4 linked regions of the Arabidopsis thaliana genome follow. The protein of the gene in region 4 purifies or fractionates together with the protein of the main gene of each other region. This does not show direct contact. Each region holds a gene or a part of one and is shown on either strand. Other genes may lie near its edges.

Evidence for each region.
Region 1: the proteins of AT2G16365 (region 4) and FHY1 purify together in Arabidopsis thaliana (affinity purification with mass spectrometry, with the first as the bait; one study listed by BioGRID). This does not show direct contact.
Region 2: the proteins of AT2G16365 (region 4) and ELF3 purify together in Arabidopsis thaliana (affinity purification with mass spectrometry; 2 studies listed by BioGRID). This does not show direct contact.
Region 3: the proteins of AT2G16365 (region 4) and ELF4 purify together in Arabidopsis thaliana (affinity purification with mass spectrometry; 2 studies listed by BioGRID). This does not show direct contact.

Annotation. Positions count from the first base shown.
Region 1 is NC_003071.7:15,800,890-15,804,639, forward strand, and holds FHY1 (far-red elongated hypocotyl 1), read right to left. Parts: upstream 1,905-3,750; 5' UTR 1,808-1,904; coding exon 1,755-1,807; intron 1,434-1,754; coding exon 958-1,433; coding exon of another isoform or gene 932-957; exon of another isoform or gene 880-931; coding exon 800-879; 3' UTR 529-799; downstream 1-528. Other genes in the region: AT2G37680 (glucose-induced degradation-like protein), read right to left, coding at 2,611-2,689, 2,764-2,891, 2,988-3,050, 3,123-3,177, 3,263-3,336, 3,429-3,572. UniProt on the Arabidopsis thaliana protein: Key regulator of far red / red (FR/R) spectrum-specific responses essential for the adaption to changing light conditions (e.g. de-etiolation), essentially by regulating PHYA shuttling from the cytoplasm to the nucleus and by directly regulating the expression of some target genes, depending on light conditions and phosphorylation status.
Region 2 is NC_003071.7:11,057,375-11,063,824, reverse strand, and holds ELF3 (hydroxyproline-rich glycoprotein family protein), read right to left. Parts: upstream 4,882-6,450; 5' UTR 4,367-4,881; coding exon 4,148-4,366; intron 3,948-4,147; exon of another isoform or gene 3,786-3,947; coding exon 2,989-3,785; intron 1,809-2,988; coding exon 1,757-1,808; intron 1,667-1,756; coding exon 647-1,666; 3' UTR 501-646; downstream 1-500. Other genes in the region: ALPHA-VPE (alpha-vacuolar processing enzyme), read left to right, coding at 147-329. UniProt on the Arabidopsis thaliana protein: May be a transcription factor part of a circadian clock input pathway. Acts within a 'zeitnehmer' feedback loop and is involved in its own circadian regulation. Has no role in regulating circadian clock function in the dark.
Region 3 is NC_003071.7:16,733,745-16,736,457, forward strand, and holds ELF4 (EARLY FLOWERING-like protein (DUF1313)), read right to left. Parts: upstream 1,169-2,713; 5' UTR 1,137-1,168; coding exon 801-1,136; 3' UTR 550-800; downstream 1-549. UniProt on the Arabidopsis thaliana protein: Component of the central CCA1/LHY-TOC1 feedback loop in the circadian clock that promotes clock accuracy and is required for sustained rhythms in the absence of daily light/dark cycles.
Region 4 is NC_003071.7:7,072,353-7,080,026, reverse strand, and holds AT2G16365 (F-box family protein), read right to left. Parts: upstream 5,666-7,674; 5' UTR 5,581-5,665; exon of another isoform or gene 5,425-5,580; intron 5,376-5,424; exon of another isoform or gene 5,133-5,375; 5' UTR 5,088-5,132; coding exon 4,371-5,087; intron 4,289-4,370; coding exon 3,642-4,288; coding exon of another isoform or gene 3,638-3,641; exon of another isoform or gene 3,378-3,637; intron 3,315-3,377; coding exon of another isoform or gene 3,198-3,314; intron 3,042-3,197; coding exon of another isoform or gene 2,907-3,041; intron 2,795-2,906; coding exon of another isoform or gene 2,717-2,794; intron 2,210-2,716; coding exon 1,747-2,209; intron 1,356-1,746; coding exon 846-1,355; 3' UTR 508-845; downstream 1-507. Other genes in the region: AT2G16340 (uncharacterized protein), read right to left, coding at 6,543-6,782, 6,849-6,893. UniProt on the Arabidopsis thaliana protein: Together with PCHL, regulates growth and development adaptation to the ambient environment by controlling negatively phytochrome B (phyB) dark reversion, a temperature-dependent thermal relaxation process during which phyB reverts from the active to the inactive state.

The sequences.
Region 1 (3,750 bases), 8.7 Mb from region 4:
TTACGTGTTAAAGATACTTACATAAAATTACTAAGGATAACTATTTTTAAAGTTTGGTGTTAATTTCTTTTTAATCAACAATTTTTTGTTTTTGTTTTTTTTTGCTATTTTTATAGCGAATTTAAAACTACTAGACATTGACCAAGAAGACTGATAATGCGAGGGAACCACATTCTAGCAAATCTTGAGTCTTGACCATCATGCCAAAATGTTTTACTAGGAAGAATATCAATAAGCTATCATCTTTTTCTTTATTAAATCAGTTTAGATTTTACATTAGAAAGGAACAAGTTGAATATTAACAAGACTTTTGACCATAATAAGAAAAAGTTATGAATTTTTGTATTATGTTCAGAAGAGAGTGTATTGGAGATAATTTGGAGAGAGCAGATTGAATATAGGTGACCAACCAAAAAAAGAAGAAGATATCATCTGAACAAACTTATTAAAGAACATTGACTCTCATTTCTCAGTTAAGTTGGTACTGAAATACATCAGGGATACTCTTGAACACAAGATTGGTTCATATGAAGGATCAGAGTGTCATAATCATCTCAGAATTTTTTTATACTAACTTTTATTTCTGATCCAGGCAGAACAAGATATATAAGCAAGATTAGTTTTGCAAGCTAATAAAAATCTTAAAAGTTGAAGACTAGAGTTGCAAACATTTCAAAGAAGCTCTCTAATCACTTTGAATTGAACGTTTTTTTAAGGTTGACAAGAATCAAAACAGAACGAGTACAGTTCTATGTACATACATCTCTTCATATATGTTTTGAGTCTCAACATCATTTTGTTACAGCATTAGCGTTGAGAAGTATTGTTCAAATTCTTGATCAATGGTAGGCTTCTTTGTCTCATGTAGAGTAGAATCATCTGTACACATGAAACCAAGTTAGTGAATCCCCGGTTCATTGAATCAATACGGTCAAACCAAAATCCGGTTTTCTTTACCTTGGTTAACAGTCCATCTTCCAGAGGACAGAACAAACTTAGCAGCATTACTACTACATCCTTTAGCATCTTCCTCTTCTTCTTCTTGTTCATCGAGATAGAGAATGTTTTCAATGACTTTCTCTGAAAAATCCTCTAAGTTCTGAGTCCCATAGATGTAATCTAGATGGCTTTCGAAAGAGATCATCTTGTCTTCACCGCATGATCCAGATGATTCCTCTTTCATCTCTATATCATTGTTACACTCCATAGAAGTTGTTGAGTTCACATAAGAAGACATTGAATACTCTGTATCAATCTCCGAGTTACCATTTGTATTCTCTGAACAAGCAACATTGGCAAAACAAGTGTGTTTTGACAGAGGTAATAACGATAACTCATCAGATTGATCTGTCTGAAATTTCCTCTTCTTGCTCACCTCAACTTCTTCCATTTTCAACACATTTTTACTACTACTTATGATCATGTGATGGAAACTGCAAAAAAAAAGAACAACACATATTAAGATAGTGGATGGATCTTAATCACCAAATATATGAAATTGACTTTATTAATCTTGAACTTAATAAGGGTTTAGGAAAGAATAACAGGAAAACTTTCTTAATCTCAACGATTAAATAAGCTAAAATCAAGATAAAACTTCAATCATCCTCTGCAGCTATGATTTTTGGTCAACCATTGACATGAATACATACATAATCAGTCAATCCTCTGTATCTTAAAGAAACTGAGAAGAAGCATAATAAGAAATTTGATCTCTAATGATAATATATAGGAATAGATTGAGAAACTGAAACCTGTTAATCTCAGATGGCTTCTCGTTGTTGTTATCCACTTCCACTTCAGGCATAGATCGCAGAGAGAGAGAGAGAGATAGAGAGAGTTCAAAGATAATTGTTTTTCTTATTACTCTTTTAAAAAATGCTCTTTCCACTTTCAGAGGGTCTGAAAATCTGGAAACTGCGTAACTTAAAATACATAAATTAAGCATCAAGTGTACGACGCGCTACGTTGGAGCGTGTATTACACGAAACATTTGAATCCGTTGATCTCGTCGACATGGTGTTTGATTTGGCGCGTGAAAAGAGTCTACGTGTTGGCGAGGTGACCCATCTTCTTACACGGGACCGTTTTTTATTTTTATCTTTCGCTCCATACGATTTTGCAATCTTTTTTACTATTGTCCCATAACGATTTTATGGGCTTTTGGATGAGGATGTATAAATATTTATCAATTTTTCCCTTACATAGGTATAAATATTCATTATCTTACAAAGATAATAGTTTATAAATTTTATATCATTATTTAAAGAAAATAATATGATGTAGAACTGTCTTTTTAAATTTCTATTAAAAACTTAATTTTAGAAGAATTTGGATTTTTTTTACAAAAATTTTTAGAAAAACTTCTCAACTATTTGGTAATTATTTTTTTGGACAATTTGTTCTTTTTCCAGATAAACTATTAGCTTGGTACCATAATGACAAAATAGTATTTTTAGTTCTTTACTTGGTCTGGTCTACTAGCTAAGCAAAAAAATATCTTACTAATAATTTATAATAATTGACACGTCATAATGTACTGGATCACGTGCATCGCATGTTTAGACGAGAGTATCATATGGCGCTGTCTGATGATTTTGGTAGCATTCATCATTGCAACTCGTAAGAAGAAAAGCTGAAACCAGATCTTCCTTCGTTAACTGTTTTCAGCTCCAGCTTCTGAAACGGACTGTCCAGAAACAAAATATCATCAGGTTTTATCTCAAACAACAACAGATTATATAGTTTGTATCTTGGACTAACCTGCTGTTTGGATCATAATAGAAACCGCTGATGGAACCATCGCTGCAGGAGAAGCATACGTAGTAAAATCCAGCTATTGTTAGTCCACAATCTGTGCCAACGTTTACAAAGTATTGCTCTTTCCATCTCTGCACCACCACAAAAATAAACCCGAGTTGCAGGAATTATGGAATACTTGAGAGAAAATGATGATTGGATTCGATAGGAAAAACTGAGAGTTATACCATAAATATATAAGGATAATTGTTAAGATCCAATTGCCTGCCACCATCAGATTCAACTTGTCCCTGCAGTATTAAGTCCAGAACGTTGCTTAGGAGATGTTACTGACTATACAAACAATGTTACTCGAGTGTTACCTGAAGAGGCGAAAAAGACGGGAACTTTGACCAATGTCTCATATCATCTTCCCTCCTGTGACAAACAAACTTTCAAAAATTTATTCACGATAAGAAATCATCAGTTTCAAATCTACAAGAATATAGGAATTGGGACATACGTTGCTTCCCATTTTCCGGTGTAAAAGGTATAATTCTTTCCATCAACGATTTCCCCTTCCCAGAATGTTATGACCTGACACTCACAGAATCAAGAATCGTGTCCCCTATTAGAAATTCAAGGGGAAGCAATATGAAGAAAAAATGAGTAAGAGTGTAAGGGCTTACAGGAGTGTCTGCCATGGGAACGTTTAGAGCTTCCATGGTGCCACAAAGATAACCATGTTCAAGGTCAATACCCTGTATCTGGACGTTGACTCTCCAAGCTTCCTCCTTCTGTTGATTAGAGACATTTTGCGTACCAGAAAATGCCTGCAGCACAGCATAAAAACATGTGTGTTCCTCATCTTTAGGTTCATTATGAATAAACAATCTCTTTGAGCCAATGAATGTTATACAATCCCAACTAGATACAAATGCACTTGAATTAAGCATACATGTCAACATGAAAAAGATATGAAGCCAATCAAAGCAGACAAGGCCAACTTCT
Region 2 (6,450 bases), 4.0 Mb from region 4:
TTAAACAATGGTATTGGCCAGAGGATGCAAGACTCAGGACGTTAGATACGATATGATATGTCGGAAAAAAATCACTTTCAGTCCTCATTAGATGATTAAGCTTCTTGTGATGATCACTTTCTTATTCTCCTTTATGTGGTTGTTAGGTGAGAGCTTTCGAGAGGCACTGTGGATCGTTGTCTCAGTACGGAATAAAGCACATGAGGTCGATTGCAAACATGTGCAACGCAGGGATTCAGATGAGGCAAATGGAGGAGGCAGCAATGCAGGCTTGTCCCACCATCCCTACCAGTCCTTGGAGCTCTCTTGACCGTGGATTCAGTGCTTGATCTTCGTCTCCGCCCTATATTAATCGATGTCCATTAATATCTTACTACCAATTATACTCCTTCCTATGTAGACAAGATGTTGTAAATATGGGATGCTTAAGTTCTTGATGTCACAGACAAAAGAAACAGTGATTGTAAGTAGTTGTTTCAAATAATCTTTGTTGTTCAAGTGATTTCAAGGCTTTAAGACAAATTAACACATATAAATGAGGCTTACACCATAATACGTTTACATGGTACATATATTGAGGATAACATCTATCACAATTTTTCTAATTTTGTAAAATACATATCAAGTACAATACGCATAGAGAGGATTAAGGCTTAGAGGAGTCATAGCGTTTACGTTCTTCTTGTATTGACTGGAAAATTCTGGCAGCATTCTCACTCGCGAGCTTTGCGTTGTGAGGTACCACCTTTATCACTCTCGTCACTCCTCCCCCATCTCTTGTTGTCTGAGTAACAGTTGTTCTTGTCGTCGTTGTGGTTGTTGTCATCGTTTGCTCAGGTGCATTGTTGATGTTGCTGTCCTCATCAACGGCTGCGAATGGCCGAAAGGACTTGCTACCAGAGATTCCCTGTGGCCCACTTGGACTGCTTCCTGTGCTCCCTTGCCTGCTCTTTCTTGCTCGCGGATAAGACTTTGTTGGCTGTTGCTGTTGCTGTGGAGCAGGTTCATTATCAGATCTCTGTTGTTGTTGTTGGGTGTTCTGAAGATTTCCAGGATGTCCAAACTGGTTCATTTGCTCATTGGGTTGTTGTTGTTGTTGTTGTTGGCTTGAACAATATGGGTTCATTATGGTGGGCATCATTCCATATGGAGGGAAGTAGCCATTACCAGGAGGTGGGAATCCCATGCCGGGGTGATATTGAGGCATTACCATTGGTGTAGGCATATAATGACCATAATATCCTCCATAATGCCCCGTGTGTGCCATACCTGGGTGAGGCTTGTATATCAGTCCTTCCGAGGGAGACATTACAGGGATCAACCATTGCTGATGATTTCCTGAAGGAGGAGGCTGAGGAGGAAAGCAATATCCATTTGGAGCCGGTGAAGCCGGTGGGTTGTTTGCAAAAGGCATGTAGTTGGATTGTTGATGATGACCTTGATTTGACAACCTCCCAACTACGTTCTCAGCTGAGCTTTCCATTTTATGTTGGTCAGTCTTCTCCGAGTCACCCCTTTGTTTGACGACAACATGTGGTAGAGGAGGCTTTACCAGAAATTCTGATGGAAGGAGCTTCTTCACTGGATAGCTTTTAGCAGAAACTTTTCCAAGAAAACTGATCTCATCGAGCAAGAGATCCGGTGATGCAGCAATAAGTTTTTGAACCTGATTATTACACAGTTGAAGAGGTTTGTTTCAGCTCGAGAAGAAACAAATACTCATGGAAACATATGAGAAGTTTCTGAATGACTTTACCTTAATCAGTCTGTGCAACTCAAATAGTTGAACAGCAAATACTCTTTGTTGACTGTAATGAGAAACAGAGTCACATTAAGAAGATTATCCATCAAAAGTTCAACAAAGAGAGACATAGTTTAGGTTGAACAGCTAATGGAACAATACGATCGAAATGAGATAGGAAAAAAGAAACAAGAATACATAGCCAATCAAAAAAGATAGAAGAAAACCAAATCAATGGGTCCAATGACATATTAAAGCATAGATAACAATGCAAAGGACGGGCTTATTGAAATCTAGCTTACAGCGCAGCTTATCCTCTGCAAAATGAGATGTCAGATATTTAACAAGAAGCAAGAAATAAAAATCTTATTATTTGCATTGGTCGTGAATCCGATACCTTACCATATGGATTAGAGTACATTGAACCTTAAAAGTTAAGTCATGAAGCCTACAATCATAAAAACTCTGTAGTTCACAACCACACTAAGGATCCTCTTAAGCAGTAGTAAGAAGAAACTATAATTCTGCATCGTCATAAGACTCAAAACTAACTTTACGTATGGTTAACTAAAATTTAGATCCTGGGGTCCTCGGAAAAACATTTCCCTACCTGGTTCAACCCCTTGAATGACAAGTAGGGAAAATGCCCAAGACGACAGTGCAGAATAAAAGCAATACCAAACCGAGACAGGGACATGTTCCAACAACCAGATGCAAAGAAGGTATAGTAATAAAGCCATCGGCGGGCACCTTGCACAATATAGGTCAACAGAGAATGTCCCTCCCTGCTATAACATGATCCAACGTGTTAAACGCGTTAATATTCTACCGAGGACTCTACAACTAAACACATAATAGGACCATTTTAGATGAATCAGGGGCCTCTCAACTATAGAACCATCACTTCTCAAGCATAAACCTGAAATCTCTTTCTCCCAAAATGAGACAGAATATGAAACTGAGTTATAGTCATATATGTATATCAGCAATCAATTGCAGCATTAATCATGAAAAAAAATATGAAGGAGAGTGTTCTAGAAATTTGAAATTTGGTGATAGTGAAATATGCCCTACCACAGTCCTCAATGAAAATAGCAAAAAACAACAGAGGAAAAAGCTTCAGTAAGACTACGGAACAATGCTTAAATATTAACTTCTTTCAAGCAAAAAATGTTGGTATCAAAGAAGGAGATAAATAGAAAGAGCGGAGAATAAATAACCAAACTGTAAATTTCTAGTGAACTTACTTGGCAATGGCTTTCCTTGCTCTCCAGAAACGTTTTTGACCTAATATACCCACAACATCATCGGGAGAGACATCTATGCTGGATATAGAATCCACCATCGAATCATCAGAAACGTCATCACTTGCCTCTTCATTTATCTGCTGCAGAGAGGCGCATGCTCTGCTTTTGCTGTATTCACGATCATTATCAATGTCTTCAGGACTGCCATGACCCTCTTGTGAATGATTTTCCGTTGCCAAGTGAGATTCAGCTCCATTATCAGTGTCCTTCAGACGAGTTTTGCCACCATCTCGGTATAACCGATTTCTAGACTCTTGTCTCAAGGAAGCATTATAATCATTTACTCTATCATGACTTGATGCTGATTTTTCGAGATCAATCTCCTCTGTGACTGATACATCTAAAGAGATTACAAAGCCACCTGACCTTGCATTCGCCTTGACCTGATCCCTAACTTCAGGTTTTGAACAAGTAGCCAAACATACGTTTTGCTTTGAGCCTGTCTGATTCACTTCTTGAAATCGAATGGAGTGATGAGAGCTAGGTGCCACCATTGGGGTGTGTTTTTCCTTCTCAATACCACTCTTGGTTCTGCCATGAGACTGAGATCTTCTTGAGTTAATATATACTGGAACTGCAAAATCTTCTTCCTCTCTCACCATTTTCCTCTGATCATGCTGTGCCGAAGATCTCACATTTTCCATGAAGGACATTTGGGAGACAAACTTCTCAGTTGCTTGGTTTGCGGCTGAAGAATCAAGATGCTGGACAGATAAGTTTCTTTCCACACCACAAGGCTGCATTGAAGAGGGTAAAAAAGGATTATTTCTCATGTCCTTGCAATAGTCTGAATGCTCAGGGCAATCACAAGAAACTTTCATCGAACTTCAGAACATAAAAAGAATCAGGCACAACAAGAATGTTAGTTTTAAGAAATAAACCACACTTAGATAAACTTGTGTCTACAAGACTCTCATATATACAGGAGAATTCAATCCTAAAAGCTCAATCCATAAGCAAAAAGAAGATACTATGATCTGATAACAATTGAAACATAGATCAACCAATGTCCTACTTTCTCTTTCAGGCTATATAACATCCAAACTCATACAACTAATAACATCAAGAGCCTATACAATGATCAAAATCAAAACAATACCTGACTAGATGGTCCAGGATGAACCAAAGTGCTTGTGTTGTTACTACGAGAATTCATCGTTCCATGATCACCAAACCTCTGAGAAGGAATACTAAGCTGCTCATAAAGAGCCATCTTGTTTCTAGGAGGAGCTCTAGGCCCTCCTTTATCTGCATCATTCACATGAAGCCGAGGAAACATAGGTTCCAATATCTTCTCCTCATCTTTCCCTCTCTTCATCACTCACAATTCACAACCTTTTTCACTTGCAAACTTCTCAAACCCCAAATAACCTAACTTCACACCAAAAATCTTCCCTTTCTCTTAATAATTCAACCTAAAAACTGAGAAAGACTCCAACTTTCACAACAATAAGCTTCAATAAAACAAACCCACCAATCAAATGAAATATCTTAACCCAAAGGACAAACTACGATAGAGATCTCACCACCAAACCAATCAGAGAAAACGAAATCGAAAAACAGACTAAAGAGGAATCAAACAAAACCAAAGTGAGTTTTCAACGTACTAATCGAGAAACAGAGTGGGTGAATCAAGTAGAGAGAGCAAAAAGGAACAAGATTCAGAGGAAGGAAGAAGATGACTTGTGAACAGAGAGAGGAAAGGGGCAAAAAGAGATAGGAAAAGTGGAGCCCAAAAAGATAGAAGGAGAGGATCTCTCTGGAGATATTATAGATTTAATCCATTTGGACATTTTTTTCACCACCGGAAAAGTGCGTGACGACGTGGACTCTTTTTGTCGTTGTAATAAGAAACTAGAAAGTAAAAAAAAAAAACATCATCCAATACATCACTTTTTGTTTTCTTTTAGGATACGTAAAATGTCATAGATATATTACCATGTTAGAGGTTCTTTGATCAGTGCTTTGTAATGTTGAATAAAAGATTGTTTTCAGCTAAATGAAGTCTGTTTGTTTTTTCTTTTCTAGCAAATGAGTGGAGTCATCGACACGATTAGATTACTTGAAGATTCTTTTCTAGGGTTGTATGAAATTATAGGGGAATATAATGTAATATATGTGGATGTGAAGAGTAATTATATAATCATGCAATCTTCCAACTCACTGAATGAGGAGAGCTCCGATCTGTTAGGGATTTCCAGAATTGAAAACAAGAATATGGAAGTTGAAGATCATGCATAAACTGAAACAATTTCTTTGGTGAAACACAGAGCCGGTCCAACGTTTTTAATGCCGACGTAAATTAAAAAAAACATGTATTTCTCATTTTTCATGAATTTCGTAAAATCGTTTCTGAATTTTATACAATCTTTTCTGAATTTCTTAGATATCTTTGGATCGACAAAGTCCGATCCATAGTCAATCCCTACTATGCGGGATAACGCGATTTAGTGGGATCGAACTCCAGTAGGGTGGGTAGGTGGAGTCAAATAGACACGCCCTATGTTTTGTTAAGTTGAAATCCAAAAATATGAGTGAAAGAAAATCCAAATAATATTTATCTTAAAAAAGCCTAAAATATAGTTTATGTTTAAAAAAGGAAACTTAAAAGATAATTTGTCTTAAAAATGCTTCCAAAATTTTGATGCCCAACTCCATTCATTTCCTTGCTTGGAATGTGGGCTAGGCGGCCCAGGCCTAGAGAAACATAGCAAAAGCTCTAGGAGCTGTGATACGTTATTGGAAATGTCCCACTTGGACACTCTTATTTACTAAAACACGTTTCAAATCCATAGGACTAATAATTGACAATATATACCAACGGTGATATGCTGCAGCTGAAGACATCAACCCCACATTTTTCACTTGTCCTGTATCTAACGTTGATATTGTCCCAATTACCTTGTCTCCCTTTGTTAACTCCATCAACAGTTTGTGAGAAAGAATATTAAGAGGTTTTTGGACATGTATCAATTACAAAACCTTTAGGATCATCAAAAGTTACTTCCGTTTTTAGATACTTTTATATATTGCTTATTCGGAAGTAAAGAAACAATCATATTTACCAAAACCAACAAGTGAATGTATCCTTCAAAAGATAGAAGTCCCAAGTTGTGATGCTAAGGAATGGATTGGGGCCTTTGTTATGTATAAAATAAATTTGCAGGGGTTCCAAAATCCACCAACTCAAACTATCATGGACTTGTCCTGTATGGTGTCGTAAAATGCAACTACGATCCATCTTACGAATAATTCTAAGCATGTTATATAATTGGGAGTGGTCGGATAGTGAGAAATCATTTCGGAGTTCAAAATACTCGGTGGCACTATGAATATATAGCACTAATACCTCTGGAAGCTTAAGGTAAGGAATTACCAATGGTACTCAAAATAGTTTGGTCA
Region 3 (2,713 bases), 9.7 Mb from region 4:
TACAAGAAGTTTACAAGAAAAAGTAGTGAAATCATAAATTTACTCAGTCACAGCAGAGCTAATCACTTTAAACCTCTTCATATGCCATTTTAATCCCAAAAAAAACTTATAGGTTTGATAGTTCATGTTTTGATATGAAATTGGCCATTTGTCCCCTTTCAAATAACTATGCTTCTTTTTAGTCCTTTTTGTGCAAAAGCTCTTTCGTCTTCTTAAGATCTTTGCTTTCTAGTGGTATATGAATGCCGAAATAGTTTGCCTGGGTTTTAGATCATGATCTCATGTATCAACATTTATTTTACTGCAGTTTCTGTTTGCTTTTTGATGGAAATGAATATTGTCACAACGTAGAAATTTTCTATGCTAGAGTTCTCTAATACACAGCCTAGTGAAAAGTCACTAGAAAACAACTGTATTTAACATGTCATACCAAATTGCATCACTATGTGACGAAATTACTTACTCCAAGTTGCAACAATCTAACCACAAGCCTTCATTTATTATCAAGGTCACATGAGAAAAGTCTCTAAATAGAATCAAACCAGAAGTAATCTAATACTGTATCAATTATTATTATAATCATTAGAGAGATTGCAGTAGAGACACATTGAAAAAGACTCAAAACCATAACTAAAATAACCCCAATAGAGATGGGTTTGCTCCCACGGATTATTCTAACGACAATCATCATTGCAATACAAAAACTAAACATTTACTTTATATCATAGCTTGAACCGGACAGATTCAAAATTCTCAAACCGGCCGGTCCAACTAAGAAGAAACAATTTGATTCCGGTTCATTAAGCTCTAGTTCCGGCAGCACCACCACCATCGTGACCGTTCTTCCCACCGTGAAAGCCCGACGAGAAACTAGTATTGAGATCAGAATACATGTTAACAACCTTGGAAATGTTTCCGTTGAGTTCTTGAATCAAAGCAACGTTCTTCGACATGTTATCAGCCATTCTCGATTGGTGATTGTCGTTGACTTGTTGAATCAGTGATCTGTTTCTGTCTAAAACTGATTGCACTTGTCTGAAATTCCGGTCAAGATTCTCCCACATCGCCGGATCCTCTCCCTGCTCTGCCTCCTCCGCCACGTTCCTCCGCCGTTTCGTCTCGCCGTTCCTCTTCATAATAATTTTTAATTGTGTTTTTCTCTCTTTTTGATTTTCGTCAAAGTCGAGAGAAATCAGATATTTATAGTAAATATCTTCTGAGTAGAATCGGACACCGAGGCGAGTAAGTTCTGTTTCATCACCACTTGATTAACAAGAGCGTGTATCTCACGTAGACGTATCTATCTGATATCAAAGAACACGCGCGTGAGTGAAGCTGTGAAGTGATTGGGTAGAGGAATAAAAAGTACATATCTTTTTATGCACTTTTCTTGGATTTATTTTTAATTAAACCATGGAGAGAGATAAGGATCTTATTGTAGAAATATCTAAAGATATTTATTGTAAAGTGAATATAAAGTAAAATATGAATAAAATAGGGAAAAAGGTATATGGTGTACGACTTGCCACGGTGCAGCAGGAACCAAATTCCTATACGCATGATCTCATGTTTAATGAATTGTAGTGTTTCACATCTAATTAGTTCCAAGTTTAGATAAACATTACAAAGAGTGTTAGATTCTTTAGAGAACAAACAAGAAGAAGAATCTCTAAGAAACTTTCTTTAGTTAATTCCAAGCTTCATGTTATGCAAGACAAGAGCTACAATAATCCGCAAGATATTTTTTTGTAGTATGATCAGAATTTGGTTCCCGGAACCTGGGCACTAACTACCAAAATCAAAATTCCAAAGAACCATAGTGAAACCATGATTCTCCTCCCAACTTTTTCTTCCATTACAAAGAACAAAACTTTATTTCACTTTTTTTGGCCCTTCCCTTTCGACTGTTATATATGATACAATCATCCTATAATGATAATGATTAAGATGATGAATTGCATAAATGATTCTAAAAATCATGAGTCATGACAATGGTGATGCACAAACAACTCGATGCTGAGAAGCAATAAGAGTATAGGGACCTCAATTCATTTCAGTCACCAATGAGTAATGATGAAAAACATTTAATTTATTTTTGGCAATACAGTTCTTAACCGCAACATTTTCCAAACTGTTTCACAAATGAATCCACTAACTGGAAAAACATGTGCCAGATTTTACTTAGAACGACCTTTTATGACACAATGCAATCTTGCAATAAGAGCTAAATGCGCTAAAACTTAAGCTGGCTTCTCAAAGATAAAGAAGCAGATAGGAAAACCAATAGAAATGGTAATTCTGCAACATCTAAATGGGTTGGTAAGTGGAAAGATTCAGAAGTGGACTCACAATGGCTCTAACTTGAATCCAAGTTCATAGAAGTACGAGTGGTAATCTTTATTACTACCATTCATATTGAATGCTTATTTGGTGAATACCCATAAATGAAGCAATGTCACCTTCTCGAGATATATGGGAATAAGGTTCAAATTCGTCGCAAATGTAATGTTTCTCGACCATTATGCGTTACTTGCGAAAACCATTGTCAAGGTAAAACATTTACGATAGACAACTGCATATTATATGTTATGTGGAATGTGTTTGATTCTTCCTTCAAAAAAACTTGTAATTTCTCTTTTAGTAGACTTATTGATCTGTTAAGGGTTGGCTTTGATGATTTAGAGTGATAAAGATAATTACCGCAGGAAATCAT
Region 4 (7,674 bases):
AAATTGTAAAATGTCTAACAAATTTTTTTTTGTTCTTTTCTTCCGTGGGTTTAAGGTTCTTATATGTGCCAACGCGAGAACAAGGGTGTACCATGTGATAATTGCAAAGCGTACTGTAGGAAGGCATACGTCGGGCCTAACGATTATGGTCGTTGCGTGGGACTATATGGATTCCGTACGTGCACCTGTTATTATGAATGTAGCAATTGGCCATCTTCATTTTTATCATAAAAAAAGTTATCTATGTTTCATCACTTCATGTTTGTATGTGTTTTTGTGTACGTGTGTATGCATCAGAATACAAAAAAAGTTGTATGCATCAGAATAAAAGGAGCTTTTTTCGTATGACCTGATCAATGCTCTTACAAAAAATTTGTCATTGCAATGAATGATTCCCAAATAACATGAAAACTAGACGATTACCGCACCTTGTTTGGTAGAATATAATCAGAAAACTATACAAATAATATATATTAAATATAATAATAGCGTTTCGAAACATATATTAATAGATGTTTTGTCATATTGGAATCCAGAAGAAAAAAAAGACTAATATTTATAATCATAACAGAAATCAAAGCTTTTCGTTGGGTCTCGAATGGTCACAAGTCCACAAGACAATAAAGATTCAAGATTTGCGCCGAACACGCCCATGTAGCCTTTGCATTCATTAAACGCAGTACTAGTTCTTCTGGTTTTTAAGTCAAACAAAAGGACTGAGTCATTGTCAATGATGAAACAATCATTTGATTCAATGAACACAATGCAATTCTCCTTTGCACCTGGGAGCTTATGTACTGAGCAGCAGAGATTCGTCTGAGCTCCAAGAAAGATCACTCGGTCGTTCAAGTCATTAACTTGAACCCACTTTCTCTTTCCTCTTTCTTCATCAAGTCTAAACACTCTGAACCATGTATATATATATATTCATCATAACGCCGCCCAACAGGTGTGAACCGTTGCACTAGCAACAACTCCTCGCCTGACTGCACCAGACTTTCTTTAGAAGACTGTTGCGATCCTCCGACTGAGGGGATCTCCGTAACTTCGAAAGAAAGTTCGACAACAAAGACCCGTCCCCTTCCACTTGAATCAACAGCATAAAACTTTCCTTTGAATGCAACCAAATCTTGATATGCATACTTTTCAGGATGCTCCACAACTTGAGTCCAACTCATGTTACGGCTTCTATACATCACCAAATTGCACATTCTTCCAGCAAAAAGCACCGCAAAATCTCTGCTATCTTCACTATCCAGTTTAAGAAATTCAACTCTCTCGGTAATCTCCACCCACTCTAGTTTATAGGGAAATCCAAAGCGGTATTCACTGGGTCGCTTCTCAATGTAGGTTATCTGCATCGAAGATTATGGGGCTAAATTGAAGACACAAGGAAAATAATGATAATAATAACAGGACCAACTTTGCGGTCTTATTTATTAATTAGCAAGGTTAGAGAGAATTTATTAGAGATAAGATTACATGCTGCTAATACGATGGGTTTGATATCAGTTTAAATCCTATATATCTTAGTTATGAATAGTGTGACTTGTATATATTTATTTACAGAATCGTGATTAATACCACAAAGAATTCCAAACATTAGCTGATTTACCTCAAAATCAGTTAGACAATGAAATAAGTAACAATCTCAAGCACCCTACTAACTAAAAAGTGGTGGTTAAATGATTATCAAAAAGAAAAGATAAAAGTTTCAAAAACTAATATGAGCTTTTGAACACCAACCTCGTAGTATTGTCCAAATGGGATAATTGGTGAGGTAAGAGAGTTGAACAACACTTTATTTATTCCCATTCCATACTTGATACCATTAGATGACAAGGGCGACAACAATAACTTCGGTTCCCCATCATTTCGTTCACGCATCTCTGCCAATAGATAATCATCACCAAACGGAGTCCAGAATTTCACGAGATATATTGGAATCTTTTTTAGTGTGCAATATTCATTCGTTGGTCGGCCGTTGAACGAAAAGCCGACATTGAACGATATATCATGAGTTTTGATACCTAAGCAGCGGGAATGATCTAGTGGAGGTACAACAGACCGCCATGAGCTGCAGACGGAACGGAAGAGGAAAATCTCGAAAGATGTCTCAAGATGACCCATGATTAGTTCTAGTAAGTCATTCGGAAGTAAGGGCCAATCTGCCATCGTTAAATTCCACCGTAAAGATCTGTATGTAAAACTGAAGAATTAAAAGTTAAGGATATATAATGAAGAAATATATATTTATCACAATAAGATTTGATTTTGCTCCCTTTTAAAAATATATAGATTTCACATTTATAACCCAATTAAGAGTATATTATTATTTTAAAACATAACTAAAGTAAAATCTTATATATAGATAAATTGAAGAAAGAGATTTTTACTATGTTAAGATTAAGATTAAGGGAAATGAAGACGTCTGTCATGATAAATTTTTACTTTTCTCCATTTCACAAATATTTAAATTTTTACATTTAATTATAAGTTATAACCCAGTTTGGAATATAATAAAACATAAAGTTAATATACAATTTAAAAATATATTTTACTACATAAAATTGAACAAGACCCTACCAAAAAAAAATCGAACAAACCTTACCAAAATAAAAATAAAAATATTTGGCTTATATAGGTTTTAGGTATTTCGGATGGTTGATTTTATTCGTCGCATACAGATTTCGTGTGTGGTTTCTCTGACTGATTCCAGGCACCAAAGAAGGACAAAGTCCCACCACCATCCTCTAAACCCGCCAAATCCGGTGGCGGAAAGCAGAAAAAGAAGGTCCTTTACCAAATCACAATCACTTTTTTTTTTACTTGATCAGTAAGTTTCTTTGATTTGGTTTCTGGTGGGTTTTGTTTTATTTACGTTTCTCATTTCTTGATTTCAACAGAAGTGGAGCAAAGGAAAGCAAAAGGAGAAGGTGAACAACATGGTTCTGTTCGATCAAGCAACTTACGACAAGCTTATGTCTGAAGCTCCTAAGTTCAAATTGATCACTCCTTCGATTCTCTCTGACCGTCTTCGGGTAAACTAACTAACTCTCTACCTCCACTCTTTTCACTGAATTAGCTCTTTATAATGTGTTGGGATAGGTTCAAGATTATCGAGTTATTGAAAGAGAAATTTTATTGTGCTCAAGAATTTGATCATGTGTAAAATGTTGTATTGGTTTCTGTCGTAGATCAATGGGTCGCTTGCTAGAAAGGCGATAAGAGATTTGATGGTGAAAGGCACGATAAGGATGGTTTCTACTCACTCAAGTCAGCAGATTAACACTAGGGCTACTTGCTTGACTTAATGTTAAATGTTACTCTTTTTCCCTTGAATCAAGATTTTCGAGAGAACAGATTTACTTACCACTTTGAATTATGCTATCATTTTTGTAAGGCCAGTAACAAATCAAAATACTGATGCGGTAACGATTAAAAGGGAATATTTATGATGCAAACAAGGTATTCATACATAAACTGAAACTATTATAAGAATAGTCAGACTGACATATAAGGTAGAACCTGTCAAAATATTTGATCGTAGCAAGCCTGCTAGCTAGTTCTGTTTGATGTTCTTGACTTTACGTTGTAATGATAAACAAGGGAAGATGAGGATGATGGTTTTGTTTTCCTACCTCAAATCCCTTGCATTCCAAACCATGAGAGAGTTGGTCTTTCTAAGACCATATGGGTTTAAACCGCTCAGAGCCTTCCCCATCAATGCCATGGCTGCAATACTCGGATACTGTTTCTTCTCGAACTCCTTGTGACTCTCTGGCTCAAAGCTAGCTTCTTGCCCTGTTGGTTGATCTGTTGATGTAGTTTTCTTCTTGCACCACCTCTGGATCCATGGATGCAGAAGTGTAATGTCATCTCCTCCTTGTCTCAGATCATTGCTCTGTGAAACGACGGGTTCTTGATTTCTCGGTTGGAGATTGTTGATTCCGGACTTCAAGATCTCAAGGAATAGATTATTGTTCTCTTTTTCTCCCAGTGATGCTTCTTTCATCTTCATCATGCTCTTGGTTTCACTGGAATCTGAGGGGCTTGTCTTCAGACGCTTGACCCATCTACTGCTGGCTTCTACTTCTGGTTCCAACCGCACACGTTTGCAATCTCTGGACAGAAAGTGTTCCACATTCATACTTTGAGTAGCCGAGTTGCTTGTTTCTCCCTGATGTCCATCTACTGAATTCTCTCTATCCGGAACAAGAGGTGGTTCTTCATTCATGTCAGGTATTTCGGTCCTTGGAATGGCTGAGTAGCCTTTTATTCCTTTTCCCTGCGGAATTTTCAACATCTTTCACAATCACAACTTTCAACATTTTGAGTAAAGATATGTAGATATGTCGATTGAACAATACCTTAGTTGATGACGAAGAAATGGAGCCGGAAAGATGTATAGTCTGAAGTCTATCCATTTCTAAGGTATTAGTCTCTGCCGATGATTCATTTTTTCTCGGTCCATCTTCTTGAGTATCCTTTGAGCTTTCTAGAGACTGCAGCCTTACTCCTCCTCTATTGTGGGAGTGATCTTGATTAGGAAACAGATCAAGATATCCACCAAAAATCTTCCCTTTCAGTTTCATGGAAACTGTAGACCCCTTCAATAACTGATGACTATCTTCTTTAGGCAAGTTAACAGAATCAACCGTTGCGTAAATCCTCACCGGTCTTATCAACTCTAGCAAGTTTTGAGTAGTCTTTTCTTGAATTGGGAAGTCAAGACGGTTACTAGAACTGAAGTTCTCTCCTTGCGGATACATCCAGGGCATTCTATTAACCATAGCTCTCGAGCTTGAACCAACATCTTCATGGAAAGACGGTTTAGTAGTAGTAGTAGTAGTAGTCTCTCTCTTTTGAGAAACCTTGAACATAGGAAACGGCAAGACCTCGACTCCATGATTCTCATCTTCAGGTCTTATCAACTGCTTAGAGCAATTGGTCTCACCATCATGAAACTTCACTTCACTACCTGACTGAGTCCAACGACCTAACCAAGCTGATTCATATGGATTGACTGAAGAATTCTTGCTGATTCCTTTGTTACCTTTACCCAAAACCATAACATGTTCAGACATTTGTACGTACCTACAGATCTTCTCCAGAGGCTTTGATTAAATCACCTGAGAAGTAAATATCCTTTATCTCAATCATAATTCAAAACAAACACAATACTAAACTAGAGCTCATGAGCATCAAGCAAGTGGATAATTACTATGATCTCAAAATTCTCTTCACCAAATTTCACACAACCTCAGAATTAAACCTAAAGAACACAAAAAGTTTCATCAAACAAATGTGAGGAGGATCACATTCTTATTCTTTTTTTGATAAACTAGGATCACATTCTTTTTCAGTAAATTCTCCAAAAAAAAAAAAAAAAAAAAGAAGCTAATTCCACAAATTTATACTTACAATTACACCAGATATATAAAATCCAGAAACAAGTACAAATCCATTTTTCTTGTGTGGAAGAAATACAAATCGATTCAATCGATGAGCAAACTGTACCACCAGAAACAAGAGTCACACAAAAGAAAAAAAAAAGAGATTTGTGATGGAGATTATTACCAGAGACGAATACGTGGAGGTACACTGTCCAAAGAAACGAAGTACGAATTTTCTTATAATTCTCTCAAGTACTTATTTGGATGAGAAAAAAAAAAAAAAAAAAAAAAAAAACAGAACCTTCAGAAGAAAATAAGACAGAAGAGATGGGCTTTTGTCGGAAAGAGCAGAAGATGTAAATCTCAATATCTATTGTCCAAAGAAGGTGTTAAAAAGAACCTCGTATTTCGTATAGGCATCGACGAATTATAGTTATCTTCGAATTTTTTAATAAGTTGAAAAGTTATTTTAGTTGAAAAATGACGTGTTCATTTTTGTGCCATGTCTAATGCAAATGGGCACAATAATATCAAGAACATTAACTGTACATATATCTAGATATTTTTAATTTTGCCATGTGTGTCTATCAGGTTATAAAAATATCTTCTTCTTGCCCATAAAGTTTAAGAGATATCTTTCTTTAATCAATGTGTTTTCTATACGTCAACGTAGATCTTTTTTTATTAGATCATGTCTCCAAAGACGGCTATGTACTTTTAGCATTCAAATGCTTGTAAACGAAAACAAGAGTCTTCGTGCCTATGACTAGGCAATTGAATCGTGGTAAAGGTTGATAAATTTTTTGATCAGCCAAAATCTTTAGTAATGTCGAACAATTTATCTCAAACGAAACATATTTAAAATTATGTTGTATGAAGCAGTTTATTGTTCAGTAATTAGAAAATGCAAGTGTAGAAGAGATTGAATGAGTTTTAGACCAAAAAAAAAAAAAAAAGAAGAGATGGGATGAGTTATTTTTGGCCATTTAGATAATGTTATTTGCGTAATCACGAATTTTGCGGTATTAGTTTATTTGCGTCGTGCAAAATGGCTAAGTAAGCATTAAATTACATCAAATCTTTAGAGAGAGAAATAACTTGCAATAGCAAATGATGAGGAAACTAACCTATACAATAAAGTTTATATTAGAGTTGATGTATAATATATAATATGACAATTTTATCCTCCCTACTATCACCATTAACCACCACCACAACAACCATCACCACCACAGTTTCGCTATCGGCGGAACCACCACTACCGCCGTCATCTTCATCACCACTACCGCAGTCCTCCAACTCCAAGCCACCATCTTCATTGGAACCACTGCCCTCGCCGGAGCTACCAGTGTCCTCACCACCATCGCCGTCCTCCAAGCCACCATCCTCGCGAGAACCACTCGCCGGATCCACCGCATGTCCTCACTAGATTCACACTGTTGCCGAACTTACCACCATCGTTGGAGCCACCATCGTCGGAGCCGTCACCTCCTCCATTGGTCATTTAATTTATCTTTTATGTTAGTTAACTGATACATATATAGTGCTATATTTTTAAATTTTTATTAAAAAATTGTTAAATTCTGCCAAAAAAAAAGAAAAAGAGAAAGAAAAGTAAATTATAAAGGAAAAAACAAGAACTCTACAAAAAGTTTTTTTTAATAATAATGATTATGCCAAGATTTGTTAGAGAATCTATAATGGTGAATTCTTAGCAAAGATTCTTAGCAATATTTTTATAATTGATTTGAAAGTTTTGAAGTTAAAAGTTTGGATAAAAGTTTAAATGTTTGGCAATGTCCAATCGTAAGCTCTTAAGTTGAGGTTTTTAAAAAATATATAAACATTTGATTTTTAAAAATTTTAATAATTATTGCAATTCATAAAATTTGAAACATACATGATATCAAAGTTTAAACATACATGACATAAACATACATAAAACGATTAGTAGTACATAATTACAGAATTTTGCAAATATTTCTCATTCTCCCACTTATATCACAACACGTGTCTGGCTCTTAAGATGTATTTAGACTCTTATATAAGAGTCATCTCTTACCAATTATATGAATTAAACATTAAATTTTATACCTATTTCTCTTATAACTATTCTAAGAAACTACTATTGAAGATAATCTTATATAACTACTCACTAGTGGTTATAATTAGTAAAGGTGTCAAACGGGCTTAGTCCAAATAGTACTGTAGTGGGGTGGGTTTAGACATTAATATTTATGTCCACGAAATAGCAGGCCAAGCAGGTTGGCCCATCACG